4 linked regions of the Stegostoma tigrinum genome follow. The protein of the gene in region 1 purifies or fractionates together with the protein of each later gene. This does not show direct contact. Links are inferred from orthologs where the notes say so. Each region holds a gene or a part of one and is shown on either strand. Other genes may lie near its edges. The genes, in order: snrpa1, ddx46, splicing factor U2AF 65 kDa subunit-like and cdc40.

Region 1 (7,621 bases):
GGGGAAGGGAGGGGGGGGGAAGGGAGGGGGGAAGGGAGGGGGGGGGGAAGGGAAGGGAGGGGGGGGGAAGGGGGGGGGGGAAGGGTGGGGGGGGGGGGGGGGGGGAAGGGTGGGGGGGGAAGGGGGGGGGGTGGGGGGGGGGGGTGGAGGGATGGTGGGGGGGGTGGTGGAGGGGGGGGGGGGAGGGGGGGGGGGGGGGGGGGGGGAAGGAGGGGGGGGGTGGGAGGGGGGGGGAGGGGGGGAAGGGGGGGTGGGGGGGGAAGGGGGGGGGGGGGGGAAGGGGGGGGGAGGGGGGGAGGGGGGGGGGGGAGAGGGGGGGATGGGGGGGGGGGAGGGGGGAAGGGGGGGGGGGAGGGGGGAAGGGGGGGGGGGGAGAGGGGGGAGGGGGGGGGAGGAGGGGGGAAGGGGGGGGAGAGGGGGGAGGGGGGGGGTGGGGGGAAGGGGGGGGGGAGGGGGGAGGGGGGGGGGGAGGGGGGGGGGGGGAAGGGGGGGGGGAGGGGGAAGGGGGGGGTGAGGGGGGAGGGGGGGAGGGGGGGGGAGGGGGAGGGGGGGAGGGGGGGAGGGAGGGGGGGGAGGGGGGGAGGGGGGGAGGGGGGGGAGGGGGGGGGGGGGAGGGGGGAGGGGGGGGGGGAGGGGGGAGGGGGGGGGGGAGGGGGGAAGGGGGGGGGGGAGGGGGGAGGGGGGGGGGGGGGGGAAGGGGGGGGTGAGGGGGGAAGGGGGGGGGAGGGGGGGAGGGGGGGAGGGAGGGGGGAAGGGGGAGGGGGGGGAGGGGGGGAGGGGAGGGGGGGGTGGGGGGGGAAGGGGGGGGGGGGGAGAGGGAGTGGGGGGGTGGGGGGGGATGGGGGGGGGGGGGAGGGGGGGGGGGGAGGGGGGGGGTGGGGGAGGGGGGGGGGGGGGGGTGGGGTGGGGGAGGGGGGAAGGGGGAGGGGTGGGGGGAAGGGGGGGGGTGGGGGGAAGGGGGGGGGGGGGGGGGAGGGGGGGGGGGGGTGGGGGGTGGGGGGGGGGGTGGGGGGTGGGGGGGGGGGGGGAGGGGGGGGGAGGGGGGGAAGGGGGGGAGAGGGGGGAAGGGGGGGGGAGAGGGGGGAAGGGGGGGGGGAGGGGGGATGGGGGGGGGGGGGTGGGGGGGGGGGGGGGGGTGGGGGGGGGGGGGGGATGGGGGGGGGGGGAGGGGAGGGGGGGAAGGGGGAGGGGGGGAAGGGGGAGGGGGGGAGGGGGGGGGGGGAAGGGGGTGGGGGGGAAGGGGGAGGGGGGGGGAGGGGAGGGGGGGGGGTGGGGGAGGGGGGGGGAGGGGGAGGGGGGAGGGGGGGGGAGGGGGGGGGGGGGGGGGGGGGAGGGGGAGGGGGAGGGGGTGGGGGAGGGGGAGGGGGAGGGGGGGGGGGGGGGTGGGGGGGGAGGGGGAGGGGGTGGGGGAGGAGGGGGGGGGGGGGGGAAGGGGGGGGAGGTGGGTGAGGGGGAGAGGAGGGGAGGGGGAGAGGGGGGGGAGGGGAGAGGGGGAGAGGGGGGGGAGGGGGAGAGGGGGGGGAGGGGGTGAGGGGGGGGAGGGGGTGAGGGGGGGGTGGGGGTGGGGGGGGGGAGGGGGGTGGGGGGGGGAGGGGGGAGGGGGGGGGGGTGGAGGGTGGGGGGGAGGAGGGAGGGGGAGGAGGGAGGGGGGGGGGAGGGAGGGGGGAGGAGGGGGGGGGGGGGAGGAGGGGGGGGGGGGGAGGGGGCGGGGGGGAGGGGGCGGGGGGGGGAGGAGGGGGGGGGGGGAGGGGGCGGGGGGGAGGGGGGGGGGGGGGAGGGGGGGGGGGGAGGAGGGGGGGGGGGGAGGGGGCGGGGGGGGAGGGGGCGGGGGGGAGGGGGCGGGGGGGGAGGGGGCGGGGGGGGAGGGGGGGGGGGGGGGGGGGGGGGGGGGGAGGGAGGGAGGGGGGGGAGGGAGGGAGGGGGGGGGGGAGGGAGGGGGGGGGGAGGGAGGGGGGGGGGGAGGGAGGGGGGGGGGGAGGGGGGGGGGAGGGAGGGGGGGGGGGGAGGGAGGGGGGGGGGAGGAGAGGGAGGGAGGGAGGGGGGAGGAGGGGGGGGAGGGAGGGGGGAGGAGGGGGGGGAGGGAGGGGAGGGGGGGGAGGGAGGGGAGGGAGGGGGGGGGAGGGAGGGGAGGGAGGGGGGGGAGGGAGGGGAGGGAGGGGGGGGAGGGGGGGAGGGGGGAGGGGGGGAGGGGGGGGGAGGGGGGGAGGGGGGGGGGAGGAGGGGAGGTGGGGGGAAGGAGGGGAAGGAGGGGGAGGGGGGGGGAGGGGGGGGGAGGGGGGGGGAGGGGGGGGGAGTGGGGGGGGAGTGGGGGGGGAGTGGGGGGAGGAGGGGGGAGGGGGGGGGAGGGGGGGGGAGGGGGGGGGAGGGGGGGGGAGTGGGGGGGAAGGAGGGGGGAAGGGGGGGGGAGGGGGGGGGAGGGGGGGGAGTGGGGGGGAAGGAGGGGGAAGGGGTGGGAGGGGGGGGGAGGGGGGAGGGGGGGGGAGGGGGGGGGAGGGGGGAGGGGGGGAGGGGGAAGGAGGGGGAGGGAGGGGGGGGGAGGGGGGGGGGGGAGGGGGGGGGAGGGGGGGGGAGGGGGAAGGGAGGGGGGGGGGAGGGGGAAGGGAGGGGGGGGGGAGGGGGAAGGGAGGGGGGGGGGAGGGGGAAGGGAGGGGGGGGGGAGGGGGAAGGGGGAAGGGAGGGGGGGGGGGGAGGGTGAAGGGAGGGGGGGTGGGGAGGCTGATGGGCAAGGCGGGTGAGAAGAACCAGGGAGGGTGCGGGGGGAGGGGAGGACGAACCGCGCTTTGGAAGTCCTGCCCCAGACTGCCTCTGGGCCCACGGCTAGATACGGGCATAGCTCGACGATCAGCCAAATTTCTCCGACACTCTCTTACCCCGAAGATCAAGCTCCCGATCTCGGACCGGGTTCGTGTACTGAGCTGCTAATTCAACAAGCTCCGCCGTCAGCTTCACCATGATGACCCTCACCCCCACACCAACCTGCGCCTTGGCTACTGCCCTTACTCCCACAGTGCCCCGCGGCCCCGCCCCTGCCCTCACTCCCACAGTGCCCCGCGGCCCCGCCCGTGCTCTCACTCCCATAGTGCCCCGTGCGCACAGGGTTACTTTGGACGTTGGAAATGAAGTGGGAGACATTGATTAGAGATAACACGGTGTGAAGCTGGATGAACACGGCGGGCCAAGCAGCATCAGAGGAGCAGGAAAGTTTTACGTTTCGGGTCGAGACTCTTCTTCAGAAATGGGGGAGGGGAAGGGAATTCTGAAATAAATAGGGAGACGGGGAGGTGGATAGAAGATGAATAAAGGAGAAGGTAGGGTCAGATGTGTTTGTGAAACATGAGAAATAGTAACGCGGTAGGCCGTTCAGCTTGTCTTTCAGTAAGATCACAGCTGATGCTCCATCTACACCTGGTGTATACACTTCTGGTTAAACTGGTTAGAAAATTACCGAGGTTTAAAACCTTTGAAGAGAAAACGTTTCTTCTCATCTCTTTCCAAATTCCAGGAATAAAATCCAACCTCAGCTTTTCATCCCACTGAATAAAAACCGAAAGAGCTGCAGATGCTGTAACTCAGTAACAAAAACAGACGTTGCTGCAAAAGCTGAGCAGAACTAGCAGCATCTGTGAAAAATCAGAGTTAACGTTTCAGATCCGGTGAAGGAGGGGTCACTGGACCCGAAACGTTAACTCCGATTTTCTTCCTCTCAGATGCTGCCAGACCTGCTGAGCTTTCTCAGGAACTTCTGTTTTTGTTCTCATCCCACTGATCCTTGGGACTGTATGATTTTGACCCAGACAAATTGAAGGAATAGTAATATATTTCTGAATCAGACTGGTGACTAGCTTGAGGTTATAGACTTGCTTGCCAAGCTGGTGGGTTTGTTTGCAGACATTTCGTCACTCTGTGAGGTAAGATTGTTAGTGTGCCTCTGGTGAAGCGTTGGTGTTCAATTCCGCTTGTTATTTATATGCCTCCATTTGTTGGGATGTTTGGTACCACTTTCAGGTCTGTATCTCTGTTTTTTGTACAAGGGGTCTAATTCAATGTGTTTGTTGATGGAGTTCCAGTTAGAATACCAGGCCTCCAATTCCCTGGCGTGTCTCTGTTTGGCTTGTGCAGTTATGGATGGGTTGTCCGCGTGTATTGAGACAAGTGAGAATTGGTCGTATCTCATGGTGGGATACGCAAGATCAGGTCCACGAGATTTATCCACCTTTACGTTTATAAGCTCTCCAGCACATCCTCTTCTGTAAAGTGAACAGTTTTCAAAACATCAATATTTATTTCCCTGCTTTCTCTAGCGACCATTTCTTTATCCATGGCAAAAACTAATGCGAAATATTCATTTAATATCACTCCCATCTCATGAGATTTAACACAAAGACGACTCTTGGGTCTTTAAGGGACTTCTCTCTCCCTAGTTGCTGTCTTATTCTTAATGTCCTTGTAGAATCTCTTTGGACTATTCTTAACCTTGTCTGCCTAGCCGGTCTCACATCTCTTTGCTTTCCTGATATCACTCTTAAGAATGCCCCTGATTCTTTTTTATTCATGACTAGAACCTCAATATGTTTGTTCATTCATTTTTCCCTACCAGCCTTACGTTTCTCTCTGACAGGAACATAATGCTGCAGAACCCTGGTTATGTCACTTTTGATAGCCTCCCACTTGTCAAACGTTCCTTTCCCTGCAAACAGTCTACTCCAATTAACTTTTGAAAGTTCTTGTCTCATACTGTTAATATTTGCCTTTGAGGTTGGTTGGCTCACTGAGCTGGTTTGTTGTTTTGCAACAACAAACCAGCTCAGCGAGCCAACCAACCTTAACACCCACAACACGAGCTACAGATTTCCTCCAAAACATTAGAAATATTTACCCTGATCCAACTAAAATCTTCAACTTTTGTGGAAGGCTTGTCCTGTTCCATGAACATTTTCAAACTAATGGAATTATGATCACTAGACCCAAAGTGCTCAATAACAAGAGGGATAATTTTAAACTGAAAGGCAAGAGGCTTAGGATTTGAGGAAAAACCCAGAGGAGAGTGGAGGTCTGGAATGTATTGCCTGGGAAGGTAGTGGGGTGCAGCAACAAAGTACTTGGATGAGCACTTGAAATGTCATAATTTTCAAGGTTATGAGTGCAGGCAGGTGGATAGCATAACTAGTAACAAAAACAGAAATTACTGGAAAACCTCTGCAGGCCTGGCAGCATCTGCGAAGAGAAATCAGAGTTAATGTTTCGTTAACTTTGGTGACCCTGGGGAGGCAATGGCCCAGTGGTATTAGCACTATACTGATAATCCAGAGACCCAGAAATGTTTGAGAAACCCAGGTTCGAATTCCACCACAGTAGATGGTGGAATTTGAATTCAATGAATATCCAGAATTAAGACTCTAATGATGCCCGTGAATTCATCATTGATTGTTGAAAAAATCCATCTGGTTTGCTAATGTCCTTTAGGGAAGGAAACTGCCATCTTTACCTGGTCTGGCTTACATGTGACTCTAGACCCACAGCAGTGTGGTTGACTCTGAACTACCCTCAAGGCAATTAGGGATGGGCAATGAATGTTGCTTGGTCAGTGATGCCCTTATCCCATGAATGAAAAAACACCCTTCCTCAGAACAGTATATTAAGGGCCAAAGAAATTCTACAAGTGTATTAAGGGCAAATGAGTAACTAGGGCCCTTAAAAGATCAACAATGTTGCCAGACGTGCTGAGCTTATTCAGCAATTTCTGTTTTTATTTCTGATTTACAACATTGACAGTTCTTTTGTTTTTTAATTAGCACAGCTAGTATATTTTTGGGGAAGCAGTCTTGATGAACTGAAGCCAGTTTTGATGGTGTTAGACAGCAACTTTCAAAAATTGATTGGGGAGGCTATGTACAGGTAAAAGGATGTCTTGCAAGTGGGAAACTTTAAAAGGTGAGATACCCAGAGTCAGGGACAGCATATTCGTGTGATGTGATAGGCAAGTATAGGATATGCTGGATTTCTAGAGATGTTGATGCTCTAGTCAAGGAAAAAAAGGAGACACATGCCAGGTATAGGCAACTGAGATCAAATGAATCCCTTCAGGAGTACAGGGGGTGAAAACAGGAGGGGAAGGGGAGACCTAAGGTAGATTTGGCAGGTAAGGCTAAGGGGAACCCAACAAGATTCTACAAGTGTATTAAGAACAAAAGAGTAACTAGGGAGAGAATAGGGCCTTTTAAAGATCAATGAAGCTGTCTAAGTGTTGAACTACAGGGGATGGTTGAGACACTGAACAAATATTTCGCCACGGTATTTGCTATGGAGAAAGACATCGAGCTCAAGAATTCAGGGAAATAAATGGTGATATCTTGAAAAGAGTCCACATTACAGAAGAGAAGGTCTTAAAACACATAAAGGTAGATAAATCCCCTGGACCTGACCAAATGTATCTCAGGACATTGAGGGAAAATAGGGAGGAAATTGTGGGGCCCCTAGCAGAGATGCTTATATCATTGATAGCCACAGTTGAGGTCCTAGAAGACTGGAAAGTTAATAAATGTAGAGCTGGAAAAGCGCAGCAAGTCAGACAGCATCCAAGGAGCAGGGAAGTAAATGTTTCAGGCCAAAACCCTTCGCCATGACTAGTCAGGATTGTTGACATGGCTTTGTGCACAGGAAATCATATCGCACAAACTTTGTTGAGTTTTTTGGAAGAGGAGATGAACAAGATAATTGAGGGCAGAGCGGTAGACATTGCCTGTGTGGACTTTAATAACGTCTTTGGCAAGGCTTATAGACGCTCTCTCTCTCTCAAGCATGCGCGCACACACACGCACCTATATCAATGGGGTGAATTTGCATTTGCAGGTTTGTAATTGCAGATACATTCTGTTCCGTTCAAAAAGCACACAATTTGTAGACAGTCAGTGTGGAATTTTATAAATTCCTACTTTGGAAATAAAACCAATCTGACTCCAAGTTAATAAACAGCCAGATTCTAAACGAAGCCTCGCATCTAAAATGCATTGTCTGACTTGAGAAGTCACCTCTGGTATACTGATAAAACCTTTAGTTATCTTGGGACAGTGACTTGAAATAAATTCTGGGATTTTGTGTATTCGTCATTTCTAAGTGATTAAAAATTTAACAGCTATCTTAGGTTTATTCAACGCATTCACATCAGTTCATGTTTCTTGATGAAAGATACATGTAGTATCTTTCTGAAAAACTGGATATCCGGAAAGATACTACACTTCCCGACACACACATCACACTATCCTACAGCAGGAACACGTCGGAACTCACCGCAAGACTCCTATGACCGCTGGGCATCAGAGTGACACACGAGCCCACGTCAACCCTTCGGAAACTGCTCACCCGAACTAGGGTCCCACTCCCCGCCATGGACAGGACATCTACAAGATCCCCTGCAGAGCCTGCGAGAAACACTACATCGGGCAAACAGGAAGGAAACTAACAACAAGAGTACATGAACACCAACTGGCTACAAAAAGACAACCAATACTCACCGATCTCAATCCACATGGACAAGGAGAACCATCATTTCGACTGGGACAACACCAAGATCCTGGGACAGTATGGCAGAGACAGGCACGAGAATTCCTACAAGCCTGGCACT
Region 2 (7,484 bases), on another chromosome or scaffold:
TGGAACAGTTTGCCATTGCCAGGATATTCTGAAACAAACTAACATGCTGCCAAGGATAAATTGTCTCCCTATTTTGAGGGCAGGGTCTTGGAAGTCCTAGTCAACAAATGATGCAGACGAGTGAAGTTTTCTTTCCCCAGGCCCAGCAGTGGAGGCCACAATATCAGACCCTATTGGTCTGGTTTTAACATTACCACCCAGGTCAGTCTAGATAAATCCACAGCCAACTAGGAAGAAGGTCAATGTCCTTCTTCATTCTACCAGCGTAAGTGCCACCACCTTCTCTCCAATGCATCACACTCAATCTATCTTGGCGACTGCACCCACCTCCCACTCTTATTACTGCCTGCAACATCTTCTGTCACTTGTTATTGCCCATCGCAATACCTGACAGCACGAACCATGTATGTCTTCTGCACTGCCTAAACACTCACTCGGGACACCTTGCTACCTGCATTAGTGTTACCCAATTTTATCCCCTTTTCACCTGCTCTTCTCTCATTCCAGGACGAAAATGGCCCACAGTGGGACAGGGAAGACCAAGTGGAGTGATGGGCTGTGATAGTCTCCTCATTCTCTATTTGGACAGGATTCTGATATTGACCACCCCAACAGACCAAGTAAACAGGTGGTGATGCATTGTGGCTCAGTTTATGAGCTGGGTGCATGTTGCTGAGAGCAAAGTATCCTTGCTGCAGTATTACTCTCATAATTACTATTGCATCGTGAAGTGCAACATTGAAATTCAAGAGCACTGTGCATGGATTAGAGGTGTGCCATGAGGCTTCTTCAAGGCTGGCACATTCTGGACACCAATGCCCATGGATATGGGGTGTACATTAGCATTGCCCATGAGATGCTGACAACTGTTCCCAACATGGAGGTTCTTCAGAGTGAGCAGTGAGCTGAAGTCACCAGGTACCTGCTTTGACTTGCATGTTGAATTATCTTGGTGACTAGTTTGCTCACAGTGGGTGGTAAATCAGGAAGCTGCAAATTTATAAGGTCAAACGTGCAGTTAATAACATCATTAACAAGCAGTACTCACCCCTGATAAATAATTTGCTTCTGTATAGCTAGAATTTTGCCTCAACACCCAGAATCTAGTTATAAGACGCAGCAGTTTTTCCCAACATGTCGCTTGTCTTGTGTGATTGTGGTAATTTCTTGCCATAGCCCATGGCATCCAGGCCCCTATTAGGTTGTGCCCCATGTCCGATTCTTCCTTTCCAATCATTTTTCTTGTATTTATCATTATCTCATCATCATTTCTCCTTCAGTTCTGATTTACTTTGAATGGATTCAGGTAAAATTCACTTAGAGAGTTGTGTATATCATAAGGAATGATCAAGCAAGGCCCAGTTGAGATTATGCAGGCAGCATGTAAACATCATGCCAGTGGGTCAATTCAATGATTGGGATTTGCTACACAGTACAAAATGCATGACCAACTCATGGTCACCAACAAGCTATTCTGGTCCACCCATATTGATATAATGGTCAAGAAAGCACAACAACCACTCTACTTCCTCAGGAAGCCAAGGAAATCCAACATGTTCACAAGGATTCTTACCAGTTTTTTACAGATACACCATAGAAAGCATCTTAACTGGATGCATCACAGCATGGCATGGCAACTGCTCTTTCCAAGGTTGCAAGAAGCTAGACAAAGTCATAAATACAGCCCAGTCCATCACACAAACCAGCCTCCCATTTCTTTGATTCCACCTGTACTTTTCGCTGCCTCAGGAAAGCAACCAACGTAATCACGTACGAATAGATTCTAGAACAGCTTCTTCCCCGCTATTATCAGACTTTTGAACAGACCTCTCAAATGTTAATGTTGATCTTTTGCTCCTTCTGCACCTTCTCTGAGGCTGTAACACTGTATCTGGCACTCTGTTCTGCTGCCCTGATACACTTTGTATGGTATGATCTGCCTGTGTAACACTCAAAACAATACTTCTCACTGTATTTTGGTACATGACAACAACCAATCAATCGACCAAATTGCAGCCAGACAGTATTTCTTAAAGGCAATCTGTTCTTCTTAAAGGGAGCAACTGGTGGAATTCTGTGCGAGAGGCTTTGAGGAAAGGATTAAAAATATCAATAAAACACAGTTCAGTGAAAGGGATTTTCTGAAAAGTAGTGGGAGGCTTTAATTTAAGGGATTGGAAAAAGTAGAATGGTTATGTCTTCACAGAGGGCCAGGATACCCTCAATGTACAACCTATGAAGGAAATGTGAGCATAAATGATCACATTATCAAATTCCAGAAGTCCAGTGCCCAGGACCTGACAGCAATGCTAGCAAACGTTCAATGGTCCCACATAAGTAAGCAAGGTCAATGAGTGTATCATTTAATGTCTCGTGTTATCCATCAACCTACCAACTCCTCACACTGTGTAATGCACACAACCCATTACTCTGCCACCAGGAATCTTTGGTATTCCTACACTCAAGCCCAATATTAGATGCTGCATTCATTCTCACACACTTATCAATAGGCTGGCAAAGCCTCCTTCTAATTTCACAAACCTACAGCTATTCAGTCATGTCAGGCATGTCACCCCAACTTGTTTAAGTATACTTACAGATATTCTTTCCTCTCTCCTGTAGGACAAGACAGCATATAGCAGAAGAGAGCAGCATAGACCTCACATGTAACAGGCAAACTTACAGCCCTTGAACCCTTCAGAGAGAAAACATTACACAGTAGTGATTGCGGACTTTGCATTCTGCAGTGTTGAGAATTCTTGGATGAAGGCATGCGCCTGTCTTACTCACTTTTAAAATCCCACCTCAGCCTTTCCTGCTGACATGTAGTGCAAACTGCAAAGGGTTTGAGCATGATTCTGCAGCTTTCCACTCAACACATTCCTTTACCTCACTTCAATCCTCCTCTTTTGCATTTCTACTTTCAGATACCCTAGATCTGCTACCTGACCAGTTAGTGGTGTCTCATTGCGAAGATGAGAGCAACAGCATGTTATAAAGAAATAATGTTACTGATAGGCTGACATAATGGCGCTGAATATAACTTAGAGGCATTAGCACTTTAGTGCACAAGTGGGCTGCAAAGCTTATAATGTTATAAGCCAAGCCAGAGGGAAAGAATAGCTCATGTGTCTACTCTCTGGAGAGTGAAATTGTGCATGACATCACAGATGAATCCTAAACATTGAAGATTACGAGCCTTCTTTCAGCCATGCTGCAGCCATTGCGACTACATATGAATACTCGGCCAGGCAAAGACACCTTCAAAACAGGCACCTAAGAAATGCAGCAGTGTGAATAATTTGATTTTGTACATATCATTGGAAATGCTGTCAGAGAAAGTTGTTTTAAAAAGACTTGCTCTGTGCTGTCTTTCATTTCAGGATTTAAGCCAAGAAGATGAAAAGACTCTGGACTTGTAAAACAATGATGATGTGGCAATGAGATTACCAAGGAACGAAAGTCTGAGAATCTGCTCAGAGACAACTCACCACCATCTGTTCCTCTTCTGCCTCTTCTTTTCCACATTGCCCACTCTGCTGACAGGGCCTGTGCCCTCATGAGGAAAAAGTTATAGACAATGCAATAGACCAACACAAATTTGTTAAATACTGAAAGGAATTTCAGACAATGGAACAGTTGTTCGTAACATTAATCATTTGTTCCACAATGTTATAAGCCTGCTATCAATTCGTGATCAGGTCCAACAGTCATAAGCCACATGCAAAGTCCTTGCCAACAAGCATCTTTGGTGCATCATTGTAATTCAAATATGGTATGGATGGTTGATTAATGCAGTAAGATTGCTGCCAGCAATGGGCTTTCATCAACTTGCTCTGTGACTGGGTACACACTAGCTACATTTTCAGTGAGTGTTAGCCCTTGCATTTGTGATGTATCCTGGAAGGTGTTTTCAGGGCCTTGAACAGTAAGGAGGGAAGAGGAGAATGGGCAAATGCTACACCTTCTGTGATTGCTTGAGAAGGTGCCATAGCGGGTGAGAGAGCATTCGGAGTGTTGCAGGAATGAACCAGGGCACCATGGAAGGAACTGTTCTTGTGGAATGCTGACAGTGAAGGAGAGTAAAGATGAGTTCAGCAGTCACATCCTGATGGAGGTGACAAAAATGGAGTAGGGTAATCCTTTGAATGCGGTGACCAGCAGCGTGGAAAGTAAGAACAAGCAGAGCCTTATTACTATTTGGGGAAAGAGGATAAGGGCTGAAGGCAAGAGGTGTGGGAGATGGGTCAGACCAGACTGAGGGGACCCTGAGACCGCGTTAAGTGCTCAAAGCAAACAAAATTGTTCTCACAAACTGTGGAACTGGATGGACATAGCAGGGCAAGCAGCATCTGTGCGGGTTCTCCACCGTCAGCAGTCCCCATTATCTCTAATACAAAATTTATCATCGGTCCCAATGAACGATAGTGTGGCATTAGGTCCTCCGGTCAGTCGGTGGCGTTGTTGCTGGAAGCCAAGAGGCTTTTTCTTTCTTCTTGGCGCTGTGCGCTCCTTCTTCATCGGATTGTGGCGAAGGTGGAGAGTTGCTGGTTTTGTTCTCTTTAATCGTTCGAAATGGGCAGAGAGTCCAGGTAGTGATAAATGTATTTCTCACTGCGGGTGGTTAATGGCGGGGAGAACAGTCTGACGGGCGGTAATGAGTGGTAGGGAGAAAGGCAGTTTAATGGAGTAGGCCTCAGACCTAGCAGTCACCCAGCCAGAACTCTCTGCATCGATTTATCGCCCCTTCTATACCACGATACTTTCCTCCACAGCACCTCCAGCAAAGGATAAACCGTCGGAATATTTCACTTTTTGAAAATCGCCTTTGTATATTTTCACGTCTGGTATTTGGTAGCCAGGAGGAGATATGTTTGCCACCTGTTGTGGTAGTGAACAAGGGGGCTTCAGATTCCTGATGGGTCCTGAGCAAGGGCAGTGGAAATTTCAAATCTAATCTGGTACCCCCGAGCTCAGGTGCACAGCTGGCACAATTTCTGTACCAGTTTAAAGGGGTACATGTATTTAGTTATTAGATGAAAATGGTTTTGGGAATGATTCGATAAATTTCGTGGTCACAAAATCAGTTATAGTTAAGTCGTTGCAAGTTCACATAGGGAACAACTTTGTAATTACACGCTATACCTTATCAGCTGTGTCTGAGTTAGATCGTTGTATGAGTTCAAGTCAAATTTCAAGACTTGAGCATCGAAATCCTGACTGACACGCAGCATTGAAGGAACATTTACAGACTAAGAGTTGTACACCACAGAAACATGTTTCAGTCCAACTCATCCATGCTGAACAGATTCCCTAAGTTAACCAAGAGCCATTTGTCAGCATTTGGCCCATATCCCTTGAAAGCCTTCCTATTCATATACCCATCTGGATGCCTTTTAAATGTTGTAATTGTACCAGCCTCCACCAGTTTTTCTGGCAGCTCACTTCATACATGCACCTCCCTTTTAAATCTTGTCCCCTCTCCCATCATCTCCTCTAGTTTTGGATCCTCCCAGCCTGGGAAAAGACTTTGACTATTCACCTTATCTAACCTGGTCAGTCCTTAGCCTCTGATGCTCCAGGGAAAATAGCCCCAGCCTAATTAGCCTCTCCCAATAGCTCAAACCCTCCAATCCAAGCAAAATCGTTGTAAATCTTTAATGGACCCGTTCAACAGGAAGACCAGAATTGTATACAGTATTCTAAAAATGGCCTAACCAATGCCCTGGACAGCTGCAACATGACCTCCCAATTCTTATACAAATGCACTGACCAATAAAAGCAAGCATACAAAATGCTGCCTTCACTACCCTGTTTACCTTCAAAGAATTATGAACCTGTTTGGCAACACTTCCCAGACCCTAAATAATGCATAAGTCCTGAGATAAGAAGGTGTAGAGCTGGATGAACACAACAGGCGGAGCAGGAAGGCAGACGTTTCGGACTAGACCCTTCTTCATTTTCTGAGGTCTAGGCCGGAAACGTCAGCCTTCCTGCTCCTCTGATGCTGTTTGGCCTGCTGTTCATCCAGCTCTGCACCTTGTTATCTCAGATTCTCCAGCATCTGCATTCTTGCTATCTCTAAAGCCTAAGTCCTGACCTGATTTACATTATACCACATGTTTATCTAAATGAATTTCCATTTGCTACTCCTCAGCTCATCGGCCTATCTGATCAAGGCCCCATTGTACTCCGAGATATCCTTCTTCAGAATTCACTACACCACTAATTTTGGTGTCATCTGCAAACTTACTAGCCATTCTTGTATTCAGATCCAAATCATTTATTTAAAAGGGAAAACATTGTCAGAGGTGCTAACTTTTGTTAACTTGAGGACTAGCCTGCTCTTCTGAGCAGAATGGCACAGGGAATTGGCTGTAGTGTCATGCTGGTATTTAATGTGCAGCTAATATCTTAGAGCAGAGTGGTAATGACCACATTGTTCTCTATGCGACAGTTTGCTATACACAAACTGGCTGCTCTGATTTTTTTATATTCACTCATCGGACATGGGCATCACTGGCTGGCCAACATTTATTGCCCTCGAGAATGTGGTGGTGAGCTGCCTTCTTAAACTGCTGCTGTCCATGTTACTGTAAGTTGACCCAAAATGCTGTTGTGGTGGGAATTCCAGGATTTTGGTGCAGCAACAGTAAAGGAATAGCCATATATTTCCATGTCAGAATGGTGAGCAGCTTGGAGGGGAACTTGCAGGTGGTGATGTTCCCATGTATTTGCTGCCCTTGTCCTTTGAGATGGAAATGGTATTCAGTTTGGTGCTGACTAAAGATCTTTGGTTAATTTCTGCAGTGCATCTTGTATATAGTGCACACTGTTGCTATTGAGCATTGCTGATGGAGGGAGTGGATGCTTGTGAATGTTGTGCCAATCGAGTTTTCTCCTGGACGCTGTCAAGCTTCTTGAGCGTTGTTGGAGCTGCATCCATCCAGGCAAGTGGGGAATATTCCATCGCACTCCTAACTTGTGCCGTGTAGGTAATGGACAGGCTTTAGGAAGTCAGGAGGTGAATTTCTTGCCACAGTATTCTTAGCCTCTGACCTACCTTCGTGGCCACTGTGTTTATGTGAGAAGTCCAGTTGAGTTTCAGTTGTAATCCCAACGATGTTCAAGAAAGACGTGGAATCCTTGGAAAAGGCACAGAGGAGATTTACCAGGATGTTTCCTGGAATGGAGGAAAGGTCTTACGAGGAAAGGTTGAGAGAGCTAGGGCTTTTCTCTTTAGAACGACGAAGGACGAGAGGTGACTTGATAGAAAAGTACAAAATGATCAGAGGTACAGATAGAGTAGACAGCCAGAGACTATTTTCTTGGGTGGAGGTAGCTATTACAGGGGGCATAGTTTTAAAGCAAGTGGAGGTAGATACAGGGGAGATGTCAGAGGTCTTTACTCCTTGGCCCATCGTGCATTGATGTTTTAACTTTACCCAATCATGACTCCAGATGACTTGGAAATAGCTTAATCT
Region 3 (7,180 bases), on another chromosome or scaffold:
CACTGAGCTTCGCTGGAGCATTTTCCACTCTATTTCCCCGCCTAGCTTTGAATCTTCGGGAAATTTGCATATATTATACTCAGTCTCTTTATCTAAGCCATTAATATGGACTACAAATAGTCACTAATCCTGTCAGTGTGCATAAGAATGTTAATATAGAGGTCATCCCTACTAAGTCTTACACTGAAAAATAACCCAGTTGTCTATAATATTTAGCCTCTCATTGAAGTACCTGAGTTAGAAGCTGAGTCATTTTTTTCCTGTGATCAGAGATAATGGGAACTGCAGATGCTGGAGAATCCAAGATAACAAAGTGTGGAGCTGGATGAACACAGCAGGCCAAGCAACACCTTAGGAGCACAAAAGCTGACGTTTCGGGCCTAGATCCTTCACCAGAAAATTTTCCTTGGGTCTAGGCCTGAAACGTCAGCTTTTGTGCTCCTAAGGTGTTGCTTGGCCTGCTGTGTTCATCCAGCTCCACACTTTGTAATCATTTTTTTCCTGTGTTATTGTTCTTGTGATGGGGCTGCCATTGACAAAGCCAGCATTTATTGCTCAGCCCTAAGAGTCAATTATATTGCTATGGATGTGGACTCATATGTAGGCCACCCCTCGGCACATTTCCTTCCCTGAATGAGCCAGATGGGATGTTTTTAATGACAATTCACAGCAGTCACATGATTACTATTAGGCCAGATTTTTATTCTTTATTTTCTTTTCTGTTAAATTCCAGTTTCACCATCTGCTGTGGTAGGATTTGAATAGATGGCCCTAGAATGGCCCATGGAATTGCTTTCTAGTTCAGTGACATTACCACTACACAATCATCTCCCTATGATTCTGTAGCCCTGGAGTGTCAGAAACAACAAACTTTACATTCTTTTAGTGTTTTAAACAACTTTCTGCAATTGCCCTGCAAGGATATTTTATTGTCCACTTGCTTGTCAATCAGAAAGTTCCTGATGTGTCATATTTGCTCTACCATGTACCACAACCTAGATGCAACTTCTGTTTATTTTACAACAGGGTAGAACAATGCTGAGGTTTTATGAACTGAAGAAGGAAACCCTCCAAAGAGTATGAACAGCAAATTTACAGCAAAGCAGGACTTCTGTCTGAAGACCTTATGCTAAATCATAGGGTTGACAGTCCATGCACAACAGAGAATCTGAAACAGCCATCAGGAGGGTGGAGGTGAGCTGAAGATCTACCACAACAAATAAAGGTTTCATGAAAACTCTTAAAAAATACAATATTTGCAAGAAAATGTTTATCTCACCTATACACTAATATTTGCAATGTTTGAAGCGCTGATAAATATATTTTCCATCAAAGGCCCGTGCCTTCCTGCAAAGCCTGAGGTTCAAATTTTCCCTAAAAACTGAAAGAACTACAAATGCTGTAAATCAGAAACTAAAACAGAAGTAAGACCATAAGACATAGGAACAAAAATTAGGCCATTCGGCTCATCGAGTCTGCTCCACCATTCAATCATGGCTGATAAGTTCCTCAATACAATTCTCCTGCTTTCTCCCCATAGCCCTTGATAATCAAGAACCTATCTATCTCAGTCTCATATGTACTCAATGCCCTGGCGTCCACAGCCTGGAAAAACTCAGCAGGTCTGGCAGCATCTGTGAAGAGGAATCAAGAGTTAATGTTTCGGGTCAGGATTGATAAGGGCAGAGCAGTGGATATGACCTAAATGGGCTTCAGTAAGGCATTCAATAAGGTCTCTCATGGCAGACTGATTAGCAAGGTTAGATCACATGGAATATAGGGAGAACTAGCCATTTGAATTTAGAACTAGCTTGATCAGTGCTGGGTCCACTGCTTTTTGCATTGAGATAAATGATTTGAGTGTGAACAGAGGAGGTATGGTTAGTAAGTTTGCAGCTGACACCAAAATAGCAGGTGTAGTGGACAGTGAAGAAGGTTACCTCAGAATACAATGGGCCCTTCGTCAGAAGGGACATTGGGCTGAGGAGTGGCAGAGTGAGTTTAGTCTAGATAAATGTGAAGTGCTGCATTTTGGTAAGGCAAATCAGGGCAGGGCTTAATGGTAAGGTCCTGGAGAATGTTGCTAATTGAAGAGACTGTGGAGTGGGAGGTTCATAGTTTCTTGAAGGTGGAGTTACAAGAAGATAGGATAGTGAAGGCAGTGTTTGGTACACTTGCCTTTATTAATCAGTTCATTGAGTATAGGAATTGGGAGGTCATGTTGGGACTATACAGGACATTTGTTCGGCCACTTTTGGAATACTGCATTCAATTCTGGTCTCCCTACTGCAGGAAGGATGTTGTAAAACCTGAAAGGGTTCAGAAAAGATTTATAAGGATCTTGCCAGGATTGGAGCTATAGATAGAGCCTGAATAGGCTGGGGCTATATTTCCTGGAGTGTCGGAGGCTGTGGATGACCTTATGGAGGTTCATAAAATCATGTGGGGCATCGAAAGGGAAAATAGTCAAGGTCTTTCCCCCGGGGTGGCAGTGTCCAAAACTAGACGGTATGAGAGGGGAAAAAATTTAACAGAGACCTAAGTTGCAATGTTTTCACACACAGACTGGTGCATGGACGGAATGAGCTACCAGAGGAAGTGGAAGAGGCTGGTACTATTACAACATTTAAAAGGCAATTGGATGGGTATGTGAAAAGGAAGGGTTTAGAGGGATATGGGCCAAATTCTGGCAAGAGGGACCAGATTAACTTAGGATATCCGGTTGGCATGCATGAGTTGGACCAAAGGGTCTGTTTGCATGCTCTTTCAGCCCTATGACTCTATGGTTTATAGCACTTGTTAAATAAGAGTGCTAACGTCTGCATTAGCATAGCTTAAAATAATCTGTTGAGTTTGTAAAATAGCTGATTTGTGCTGTGAATAAATGATATGCATTCACATGCAGGAACCCATACATTACAAAATAAGCAACAGCTTCAAATTTTATGTAATTTTGGAGAGCCCATGTAGCTCTTCATCACTTTCTCCAAGACAGTGCCTCAAGCAATCAAAGTCAACTCGCAAAAACATCAACTTTTGCTCCTAAGATGCTGCATGGCCTGCTGTGTTCATCCAGCTCCACACTTTGTTATCGCCAATTATTTAGCATCTTCTTCTCTTGTATAATTGTTTGGTTATTTGAAATTTGGCATTATTTTTGTGCTGATTTACAAGATGAAAAGCTTAAGCAAACTCTTTTTTCATCAATTTTCCGTCTTGCCCACTGGAACAAAAACTGATTGTTCTTATCCAGATTTAGATGGGCTCTACTGTTTAATTTGCCCTGAATACATGAGAACTGGCTCTTGACTTTGCGTGGTGATACAAAATGACTCCATCATTTTTTTTGTACTATATTCAGAAACGTATAAAAGTAGACAACTTTAAAAAGAAACACAAAATATCAGGATAATTAGCAATATAACAGTAAGCTCCCCATGTATCTTAATTTGGTACTTTTAAAGTGTCTCATGTTGTCCTTCTTCAAAAACTGGTCAAACAGGAGAATAAAAATTAAATTTTTCGACAATAGATCTGGTTGCTTTCTACTCAGAACTCAGTCACAACAGGAGACTGCCAGAAGAACAGAGGGAAACACTTTAGGGAGGTGCTCTAAGCATCTATAAAGAGAGGGAGTCTCTGCAGCAACTCATGGCATGATCAAAGGGGGAAATTTATTTTAGAAGGCATCAAACAGATTGAAGGACTTCAATGGGAGCACAACCTCTATTCTAGGTGCCTGTCCTTCAAGTCCAATTTGCCCTTCATGTGGCAGAGTCTTGAAATGGTCCATTGGATTCATCAGCCATCTCAGAACTCACTCAACCAAAACAGAATAAACAAGCCATCTCTGAGCCCGTAGGTATTGGCTAGCAAACGAAGAAATGGAAACAAAAATGTAAACGTAACTGAAAACACTTTACACCTTACTGGGTGAAAGTTAGGGAATGTTTATTTTGAATGTGTCTGTTACTGTCATTGTGTCACTTTGAGGAAGAGCGGCAGTGAAATGCGTTAAGTTCCCACACGGCGTTTGACTCTCTGCGCGCACCGTCCCTCCGCGACCCAACGTGGCCTCCGCGGTCCTGCCCCAACGATTCGCCCATGGGGGGATACTCTCGGCAACGATTGGTGAATTGAGCTGTCAGTCGGAGGCCGGTCCCGGCGTTGGGGGAGGGGAGGAGGAGAGCGCCATCCGGAAGCCGCGGGTGAAGCGGCCATTGTGCGGAGGGAGCAGAGTCTGAACCCGAGTCGGCGGGGGGGAGAGCTGCGGCACCGTTTTTAACGGTGATCGAGGGACGGCGCGGGACTCACGATTGATAAACCACCTTTTGTTTTCTTTTTAAAAAAAACAAGTTTCACCCACTTTCTTTTTGAAAAAAAATCGTAAAGGTTCACACAGACACAAATGTCAGACTTTGACGAATTCGAGAAACAGTTGCACGAGAACCGACAAGGTGAGCAGGGCCTACCGGACCAGGCTTTTTCTGGGTTTTTTTATATAAAGGATTCCAGGGCCTCCCCGTCATCCCACCCCGTCGGCCCTGCTGCGGCCTCGAGTCAAAATCGTCCGTGTTTCCAGGAGTTAATTTAAAACTGGTTTCTCAATGAATACCGAATGAGCGGCGGGTGGGTGCATTGCGCAAGCTCAGTGTCAACTTAGCCAACCCTGGTGACAGGAAGAAGGCCATTCCGTCCCTCTGTATTCTGCACCCCCCGTAGTCCGATTCCACATTCAGCCCATGTGGAGACTTGGGCATTCCCTCTCTCTCAGCTCCTCTGCACACTGCCTCTTCTCCTCATTCAGCCCCTCCAACCACTGCGCTCTATGTTCTGACCCGTACCCCCTTTGCCCCCACCCATTCATTAGCAACATAAAAGGGAATCCAGAAGTCTGCTGTAGGGATATAAACGGCAAAATGGTAAGAGAAGGAACAGTCGTGCCTTTTCGGAACCAAAGGGAGATCTGCACAGGGAAAACAGTTCACCTTGGTACAAAACGTGTATTTGTGTCTGTTTTCACTAAAACCTTGCACGTTTGGGTGCCTGAGATAACAAAGGTGTAGAGCTGGATGAACACAGCAGGCCAAGCAGCATCAGAGGAGCAGGAAGGCATATGTTTCGGGCCAAACCTTGTATGTTTGGCTGCCTGCAGTTTTAGGGGAGTACTGAAGTAATGACAGATGTGGATTTGTCTATATGTTTTTACTTTAAAATATTTTTAATCTTTTGCCTTTTCAATTTCATTGAAGGGTTTGATTCAGTATTTAAATGTATTAAATTGAATTATGTTTCTTTTGGTCAAATGTCTAATTGACAAACAAGTCTAATCAATAGTTAATCTATTCCAGAGAGATGCTGATCTATGAATGTCCAACATACAAATGTTTGTACTTATGAAAGCAATCTCATACTGGGATATAATTTAAAATATCCAACATAAGTACAAGAAATTTTGATACGCATACTTGCTTTATAATTGTCCTGCATTGTGTTCCACCTTGTGTACAAATTAAACTCAGGAACCGAACCCGTCCGCAACCTGGGATCTGCCTGTATGTTCTTTTATAATTGTGTGAAGACCAAAATTTTCTGAATGTATTTGTCTGTGAATTTTTCAGCATTTGCTGTTTTGAGATTTTTTTAAACAATCAATATATTAGTATTTAGTAGAGCCGCTGTTCCTTAACTGCGTTTCATACAACTGGTTAGAACTTGCTGTTGCCTCCTGCTGTTTGAATAGCTGAAAATTGCAAACAGGTGCTAAAATCCAGTAAGAGGCTGCAGTTGAATCCTTTGAATCATTCAGTTTTTACCAACTTGAGCATTTTATGAATTATGTACATACTCTGTAGAGCAGTCCAAGATGAAGTTGCAAGAAATTGCTAACCCTTACAAAAATTATATTTTGGATTTTTCTCCAAGCTTCACTCAGTCCTTCCTATATTAAGCAGAAATTTGAATTTTACTTGATTATACCTATTAGCCAACTTGGATTTCAGTTACAGTATACGACATTACAGATTATATGATTTAGTCTCCTCTGAATTGAAAAACTCTTATTTCTTATACATATATTGAAACTCAACATTGTTGCATACCCTTAAGAATGTGGTTTTGATCAGATTTTTAAGTAGGTAGGGAATTGGAATTATTGGGTAAATTTGTCTCTCAGATTTAGTACCCCTGGAAACATGGGTGCTTTCCTGTCTTTTGAATATTTATGAAAGAGTTATGAGGGATTTACAATTAGGTGACTTTTTACTTTTAGCATGAATCTGTGAACTAGCTATTTTAAGTACAAGTTTTATTTGTCACTCATTCTGTTCAGATATAGTTTCGGATTTTTTTTAAAAGCATACATTTCTCAAAAATATTCAGTGGTGGGATTTGAACAGTTAGGGTAGCATTTATTGCCCATGGTCATGAGCTGCTTTCTTGGACTGCTATGGTCTACATCAGGTAGATGCACTCAGAAGTGAATTCCAGGACTTAACCCAGCAGAAATGAAAGAAAAGCATTGTACGTCTAAGTCAGGATAGTGAGAGACTCGCAAGGAAATTTACTGATTAAAGTCATCCCAGGCATCTGCTTCCTTTGTATTTGTAAGTGTTAGAATTTGAGAATGTGGAAGGTGCTGTCAAGGAAAACTTGGTGAATAATTGCAGTGCGTCTTGTAGACGGAACCTGCTGCAGCCGCTGTGCAGTGGTGGAAGGATTGAAGTGGCCTGTTCTGTCCTGAACAGTGTTGGGCTTCTTGTTTTGGAACTGTGTGTGTGCCGGCAATGAAAGGTATTCCATCACACACCTGGCTTACATTGCAATCAGGCTTCGGAGACTGTGAATGTGAATTACTCACTGAAATTCTCAGCCTTTGACCTGCTGTTGTAGCCACAATGTTTACTGGCTGGTCCATGTTTTAGTTTCTGGCTAGTGATGAACCCTAGGATGTTGATAGTGGGGGTTCAGCAATAGTAATGCCATTGAATGCCAAGGGGGCACGATGAGTAGATTCTCTGTTGGAGATGGCCATATTTGTAGATATTCTTTCACTGATATTGAGCTAACATAGGAGAAACCCAACAGGCAATCCAAAGAAATATGAGGAGTACATAACAGTATTTTATGTCTAACTTCAGGCGCATTCCTGCTATGAATAATTGAGAATTAATTATTAAGG
Region 4 (7,270 bases), on another chromosome or scaffold:
AGCCATGACAATTTTGTTTTCAAAACAGTTGAGAGTCTTTAGACTGAACTAGTTCTTATGTAGCTCTGGAGGGTTCACTGAGCAAGGTAAATAATTGTTCCTCAAAGTTCCTACTAGAAAATCATGTTTTTTTTAAGCTTGAAGAGATTGAAACGTTAGAGAGATTTTTTTCAGTTTTACTGTCAGTTTTGGGCAGATCTACATGTGCAAAGTTTTCATGTGCAAAGTTGTTCCAGAAAGGAAAAAGATGGTGGATTTGTTAAAACTATAATGTGGAGGTGCCTGTGTTGGACAAAGTCAGAAGTCACACAACACCATTGTTATTGTCCTGATGAATGGGCTGTGCTTTGAAAGCTTGTGATTTCAAACAAACCTATTGGACTATAACTTAGTACCATGTGACTTCTGACTATGACAGAACTAGACCACCTTGGAGCGATGAGTTAAAGTTCCAGAACGGAAACGTTTGGATAAAATCCTGAACAGGTTACTTGAAATTGAGATAATTAAGCTCAGGCATATGATAGCTCTGGGAAGAAACTACTGTGTTTCCCTGTCAAGAGCTGAAGTCAAATTAGACACATCCAGGTGCAAGAAACTTTCCGGTATGACAGCTGTATAAGGGGGTGCTTCTGCGTACTGTACTGAAGTATTTTAGGATCTGTACAGGAGTCTTTTTAAAAGTTTAATGGAATTATATTTCACTGTATGTTTTAACATCTTTACAGTTTGTGTTACAAGTAAATTGTGTGGTTTACTCTATTTTATTTCCATACATTTTACTTCAAATTTCTGCTTTATGGTTAAAAACAATTTTTAAAAAGATTCATTCATCAAAAGTGGGCATGGTTGGCTGGGCCAGGATTTACTGGCTATTTCTAACAGCACTTATTAAGGTAGCGGTGAGCTGTCCTCTTGAACTGCTTCAGTCCATTTGCTGTTAGCAACGCCATTAGGGAGCAGTTCCAAAATTTTGACCATGCAACACTGGAAGAAAAATAATATATTCCCAAGTCAAGATGATGAATGGCTTGGAGGGGAACTTGCAGGTAGTAGTGGCTGTACGTAACTACAGCCCATGTTGATCTAGATGGTAGTTGGCATGAGTTTGAAAGGTGCTGTCAAGGAGCCTAAGTGAATTTCTGTAGTGCAGCTTTCAGATGGTGTACACTGCTGCTGCTGCAAATCTGTAACACTGTATGCATCCAGGGGTGCATGTTCATTGTTCTTTGAAAATGGAGTCACAGGGAGACAGGGTAATGATGAAGGTGGTTGGTATGCTAGACTTTATTGATCAGTTGGGATGTCATGTTGTGGCTGTACAGGATATTGCTTAGTCCACATTTGGAATACTGCCTTCAAATCTGGTCTTCCTGCTAAACAAAAAATGTTGTGAAAATTGAAAAGGTTCGGAAAAGATTTCCAAGGATGTTCCCAGTGTGAGAGGGTTTGAGCTATGGCCAGAGGCTGAATAGACTAGGTTTATTGTCCCTGGAGCATTAGAGGTTGAGAGGTGACCTTATAGAGGTTTGTAAAATCATGGGGGGGCATGGATAGGGTGAATAGCCAAGGTCTTTTCCCAGGTTAGGGAAGTACAAAGCTCATGGGCATAGATTTAACCTAAGGGGCAACTTTTTCATGCAGAGGGTGGTGCACATATGGAATGAACTGCCAGAGAAAGTGTTGGAGACTCGTACAATTATAACATTTAGAAGGTATCTGCATGGGTATAGGAATGGGGAGGATTTAGACAGTCTGGTCTTAGTCTGGTCAGCATAGACAAATTGGACAAAAGGGCTTGTTTCCATGCTGAATATTTCTATGACTCTAATCCAAACACCAAAACACATTAAGTCAGCTAAATCTGTTTCCAAAATCCATGCGGCAGTTCCTACTGAAACATCAAAACAAACGTGTGTGTAGTGGACAACGTTGCAAAGAGCTCTAAGCAAATCACCTGTGTCTTAAAAACTACCTAATAACAACCAAAAGAGCTGCGGATGCTGTAAATCAGCAACAAAAACAGAAGTTACTGGAAAAGCCGGTCTGGCAGCTTCTGCAAAGAAAAAAATCAGAGTTAACATTTCTGGTCCGTTCACCCTTCCTCAGAACTATTCTGTTAACTTTGATCTTTTCTTCACAGATGTTGCCAGACCTGCTGAGCTTTTCCAGCAACTTCTGTATTTTGTTCTTAAAAGTACCTATCTTTCAAGGGTTAATCAAAATGTAATAATAACAAATGGGGCTTATCAATTTACTGAAGTATACTAAGCCTGTACACGCAAGGAAATTACTTATAAAGGTTTTTCTCCTCATAAATGAAACAAGTTAGCAACAAATCTGTAGTCTAGTTAAAATGGTCTGTTATCAGATGTCAGTTTCCAATAGCTATTCAACGGAACATCACCAACATTATTAAGGAATTTTTGAGTGGTATTTTTCTGTCGTAGACGCATCAATTCTGTCCTTTCCCCAGGTTCGGGTCGGAGGCAGACAAACCCCGTTTTTTGTGAGATTGTCAACAGACTAAACCCATGTGCCCCATCAGGCCCGACTCGGGCCTTCCTACACTCACCTTTACAGCAACATCAGGAGCGGAGTTCAAAGCGAGGGATCCGTGAAGGCGTGACATGGATTTCTTAGGCTCCAGAGGGTGCAGATGAGCCACGGCGTCTCGGCTGGGGAGCTCTCCACATTCACCATCCGAGTCGCTGCCACTGCCGCTGCCGTAAGAGGCCAGAGCCGCAATCGCCGCCGACATTTTCGCGGGCGCCTCTCTCAGAAGATGACGCGCGCTTGCAGATCTAAAACTTAACCAGTCCTCCCCAAGTAAACACCACAGCGTTCACTGACAGGAGTTTCCTTGGCACCGTCTTCACTATTTTAAATGTTGAGAAATTTCTATCGGCGTCAGTCTCACAATATCATCCTCCCGGACTTCAGCGAAACTCCAAGGACTATTATTTACCCCACGGCGGTAAGGCCCAAATTCCCACCTCCGACAATCTGATTGGCTAGCCTGGGAAGGAGTGGGTGAGCCCATCTCGGCAACAACCCTTTGTCCATTGGTTCTGTGCCTTGTCGATCAAAAGACATCACAAAGCTCCCTTCGACCCTTCCTCCTCCGTTCCACAACGCATTCCAATTCGATGGTCTTCCCCCATACCCCTTCCAAACGGCCAGTGCCATTGGGACAATACACGGGAGGATCGCTCAGTGCGTTCAGCCGGATAGCGGTGGACGAAATCCGTTCCGGCAGGCACAGCTGCGTCCGGCGCTTTCTAAGCTCGGCCGTTCTCTGCGATTTGGAAGCCGAAACGCCTCTATTTTCGGATTGAAGAAGCGAACGGGTCCTGCTGCCGCGGGTGCGATGTTCCCCGTGCGTGTCGCCGACGTGCGCCATTCCGGCTGAAGCGGCGGCGGTGTTGTTATCGAGACCGGCGAAAACTTGGGGCGTCAGTAAAAGCGGACCGGTTAGAGCGAAGCTCCCAGACGGCCGCTCGCGGACAATGAAGACGTTATTCTCCAACTGAAAGACGTTCCAATTCATTGTTTTTTTTAAAAAAAAATCTATAGGTCTAGGTATCTCGGAAGATTATATTTTAAAAAAATACTCGAGGCCGGTAAGAGTTTACAGGGTACGTAATTCTAATCTCAGTGAATGAAATGTCGAGCTCTTGGAATTTTATTTATTGTTGCAGTGTTTTTATTTGCTGTGCAAAACAATTGCCTCACAGCAAAGGTGTGTGTTCGGAGAGGGGCTTGCGTTTAGCCATGGTAATTTTTTTTTGCAGTCTACAATCTTACCTTTTTATTTTTCTTCTCCCTCGCCAATTTCTTTCTGTGGTTGCCGAGGCCCCGGCAGGTAGTGATGGTTGGACTGATGGATGGGGCTTGCTCGGGTGCACCTGGGCTTCAGCCCTGAGTCTCTCATTCTCTCCTGCACCACAGTCGGAGCTGCACTGGCCGCAAAAAATCCCGTGTTATCGAGAGTCTGACCTTTCTGCAACTCGCTATAACTCACTGCTCTCTCTCCTGTTCCATTTCAACCACTTAGTTGAGATCGTGAATTTGGATGCGCACTCAATCCCTTCGCAAGAACATGCAGTATAAAGGTGTCGATTGTTTGCAGAAATTTTATTTCAATATTGAGGTTTTCGTGAAGCTGGATGGATGCCCTCGATTTCCACAAAGAATTTGGGAAGGGGGTGTAGCGGGTGGAAGAGAAGATCGGCAAATATTCTGTGACCCTAAGATATTAGATCTCAGCGCGGCAGGGTATTTTATTTTGTGCAATTTATAAACAGAGGCTTACTGTTGAAGTTTTGTCCACTCACGGACAGTAAGTTCATGTTTGTAGGTGCGGTGCCGTCGCATCACGACTGTAACGGTCGCTAATTTTGCAGCGTAGGGAACACATTTGACTAGGATGAATGATAAACGTGCTGATTATTTAGCAATTTTATTGCGAATGACCATGAGCAACTTTTCAGGACTGTCTGCTTTCCTGGCCCCTTGACCTAATGCAGAAAATTATTTGCCTTTACGTTTTGAAAGGCTGTTTATTTTTGCTTTAAACTCTGCCGCCCGCAGTACTCGATTCCCACGCCAGAGGTTGATCGCAGACCTGAGCTCCTGTATTTCACCTCTTCGAAAGACCTTCCCATACGCACCCACCCCCTAACCGCAGTGTTTCAATATTTTGAGCGGAGTAAAGAGAGATCCACGATGAGCGGTTGGAGCGACACTATCTCAATTTGCGCAAAACTTTAAAAGCACAACTTAGTACTTTGGATCCTTTCCTTTCATTAGCACTTCTTATATGCGGTCCGAATAATTGCTCTTCACAGCCGAAGTGGAATTGCAAACGACTTTCAGATAACTCGCTGGGGAAATAATTGCAATACCCTGGAAAAAATGTTCTAGTATAAATCGCTATGCATTTCTGAGACGGGTAACTTTTTTCCAAGCTTAGGGTTTCAAAAGTTGGAGCAGTGACAGATTTGAGCTCGATCCTGTTTCTTAACTTTAAGAACAAATCAATCGGGATGATTTCTGCTGCTGTGCTTTTTTAAAATTTGTATTGTTTTGTAAACTTCAAATCTTCCTGAAGTTAAAACGTAGCGCTTTTCTGCTTATAGAAAAATTTCAGGATCCACTCACTATGACCATACCTTTAACAAAGGAAATGTAGCCAAGAGCTTACACGTTATCAGACAGAAATGGAAATTCAATAGTAATAGGACAAGGAATTTCAAGTAGCTTTTAAGGAGCATCTTGGAGCAGGATAGAAAGCAAGATAGAACACAGTGTGTTTTAAATATGGAATTACAGAGCAAAGACCTGCGACTTTGGTCAATACAGCTACCAGCAATAGGGCAAAACAAAAGGAAAGTGCTCATGAGACTAGAATTGGAAGAACAGAGAGTTCTTGGAGAGCTGTAAGCTTGAAGAACCAAGAAGGTACTTGATGCAAATTCGAAATTAGAGGCATTGTTGAGTTGTGGAGCTTCCAGGGAATGCATGAATGATGCTTGATGCAAGTTGGGAGTTGGCAGTGGTTTCATATGAGCTTAAGGATGGTAAATGAAAAGCCAACCAGGACAGCATGTCTTGTGTAGCAAACTTAGACAGCGTTACCTAAAATTGCACCATTCAACAGCCCATTTTACAGCAATTTACTCATTGATGTCATTGCATGAGGAGTTGGGACCTGAAGAAAATGTGGACCCCTCACCATATGTTCCTCTTCAATGTAAAATGTATAGGTTTCAAATAAGCTAACTAATTACACACAAAAGAACATGGGCTTGTGAGTGTTTTCAACTCTTTGTATGACTGGTGCTGAAACTGTAAACATGGAAGGGCAGAGACAACACAATTTAGATTTAAGGGAGGAGCAGTCTAAAATGAATAATAAAATACCAAAGAAATAACCTTTCAGCAGCATCTAAATTCTCTGCCTAATTTTAGATCCATTTTAACTCGCCATTCTTTCAAGAAACTTATGTATATAGCTTGCATGGTCACGTGCTGAGGTGAAAAGCACGATCAGCAGGACTGAAAGGCTAACGTAACTGTGCATCTTACACTTTTGTTTGGTCTCCTAAAGCAAGTTTTGTTTTGTACCTTGAATAGTTGTATCTTGGGTGCAAATGTAAGGAAATTTCACTATCTTTTATTTTAATTATTCTTGTCTTTATTTCAAGATAGATGCATTTTGTTATTGTGAACTAGCTATTTGAAGATTGAAACTGCTGTGTTAAATTGTTTGGTCGTCTTTTCATCGCAGATGTATGTTAGTTATTGCACTTAGCTACTTGATAATTATGGCTGGCCAGTGTTCACATAAATCTTATAAAATGTTCTAAATTTATGGCAAATAAATTATTTTTGTGCTTGAGTAGGCTGAGAATATAAATGTATGAAAGAAATATTGGCTTTAATGAAATGGAAGTTTTCAAAATACTGAATATGAATGACTTTTAGAAATGTAACTTTTTAAAGAAACATCATGGAGAAGTGTGTGTGTTTAGGAGCATTGTATCGGTCATGTATACTGAAAATGTGTATGGCAAAAAATCTATGAAAACCAGATTTTGCTGTACTAGTCTCATTACACCAAAAAATACTGCCAAGTAATCTTACTTGCAAAGAAAGTTTCTTCAATATTATGCATATAATTATCTTAATATTTAACATGAAAAGATACAATTCAGGAGAATGTTTTGGGAAATTGGATAAGGAGCCAATTTACTTTTTATGATTTTCTGAGGTTGGCTGTTTGTTGACAAATTATATAATTAGGTTTTTATAGATTTGTGCAGATCATTATGAAAGGGCAATGCTTATCCATTAAAAGTACATTTGCAACACAAATACAGTATTGTGAATAAATTATTTCATCTGGCATCTTAAGTGCACGGAGATTTACGTGAAATGCCAAATGTGAAATTATGCCATTTTTGTTATTTTTAATGTGTTGGATGCTTTACTGAAATAAAAGATTGGCTATCGCCTTATCTCATAGTTGGTATGTTGCCAATTAATAATTCATGTTTAAAAACCATGAACAGTATTATTAAGCTTCAGGAGGATTGTAGAAGAGCTATACTGTGCTTTAAGTGAAGTAATGCCATGAGCAATAACAGCTTTGTTTGTCATAAAAGTTAGGCCATTGGCATGATAAATTACACAACTTCCCAACCAATTCTTAATATCATGACTTCTAATTAAAGTTAGATTCTTTCGTTCACTAGCTTTTTTTCCT

Evidence for each region.
Region 2: the proteins of snrpa1 (region 1) and ddx46 purify together in Homo sapiens (affinity purification with mass spectrometry; 3 studies listed by BioGRID and IntAct, counting the BioPlex papers as one, with this or other methods). This does not show direct contact. The link is inferred for Stegostoma tigrinum from reciprocal best matches to the Homo sapiens genes SNRPA1 and DDX46.
Region 3: the proteins of snrpa1 (region 1) and splicing factor U2AF 65 kDa subunit-like fractionate together in Homo sapiens (co-fractionation; 3 studies listed by BioGRID, with this or other methods). This does not show direct contact. The link is inferred for Stegostoma tigrinum from reciprocal best matches to the Homo sapiens genes SNRPA1 and U2AF2.
Region 4: the proteins of snrpa1 (region 1) and cdc40 purify together in Homo sapiens (affinity purification with mass spectrometry; 3 studies listed by BioGRID and IntAct, counting the BioPlex papers as one, with this or other methods). This does not show direct contact. The link is inferred for Stegostoma tigrinum from reciprocal best matches to the Homo sapiens genes SNRPA1 and CDC40.

Annotation. Positions count from the first base shown.
Region 1 is NC_081386.1:1,212,315-1,219,935, reverse strand, and holds the start of snrpa1 (U2 small nuclear ribonucleoprotein A'), read right to left. Parts: upstream 3,001-7,621; 5' UTR 2,953-3,000; coding exon 2,871-2,952; intron 1-2,870. UniProt on the Homo sapiens protein: Involved in pre-mRNA splicing as component of the spliceosome. Associated with sn-RNP U2, where it contributes to the binding of stem loop IV of U2 snRNA.
Region 2 is NC_081366.1:30,953,681-30,961,164, forward strand, and holds the start of ddx46 (probable ATP-dependent RNA helicase DDX46), read left to right. Parts: upstream 1-4,470; 5' UTR 4,471-4,575; coding exon 4,576-4,592; intron 4,593-7,484. UniProt on the Homo sapiens protein: Component of the 17S U2 SnRNP complex of the spliceosome, a large ribonucleoprotein complex that removes introns from transcribed pre-mRNAs.
Region 3 is NC_081375.1:48,722,775-48,729,954, forward strand, and holds the start of splicing factor U2AF 65 kDa subunit-like, read left to right. Parts: upstream 1-4,179; 5' UTR 4,180-4,408; coding exon 4,409-4,457; intron 4,458-4,472; exon of another isoform or gene 4,473-4,637; intron 4,638-7,180. UniProt on the Homo sapiens protein: Plays a role in pre-mRNA splicing and 3'-end processing. By recruiting PRPF19 and the PRP19C/Prp19 complex/NTC/Nineteen complex to the RNA polymerase II C-terminal domain (CTD), and thereby pre-mRNA, may couple transcription to splicing.
Region 4 is NC_081357.1:25,293,331-25,300,600, forward strand, and holds the start of cdc40 (pre-mRNA-processing factor 17), read right to left. Parts: upstream 3,002-7,270; 5' UTR 2,762-3,001; coding exon 2,576-2,761; intron 1-2,575. UniProt on the Homo sapiens protein: Required for pre-mRNA splicing as component of the activated spliceosome. Plays an important role in embryonic brain development; this function does not require proline isomerization.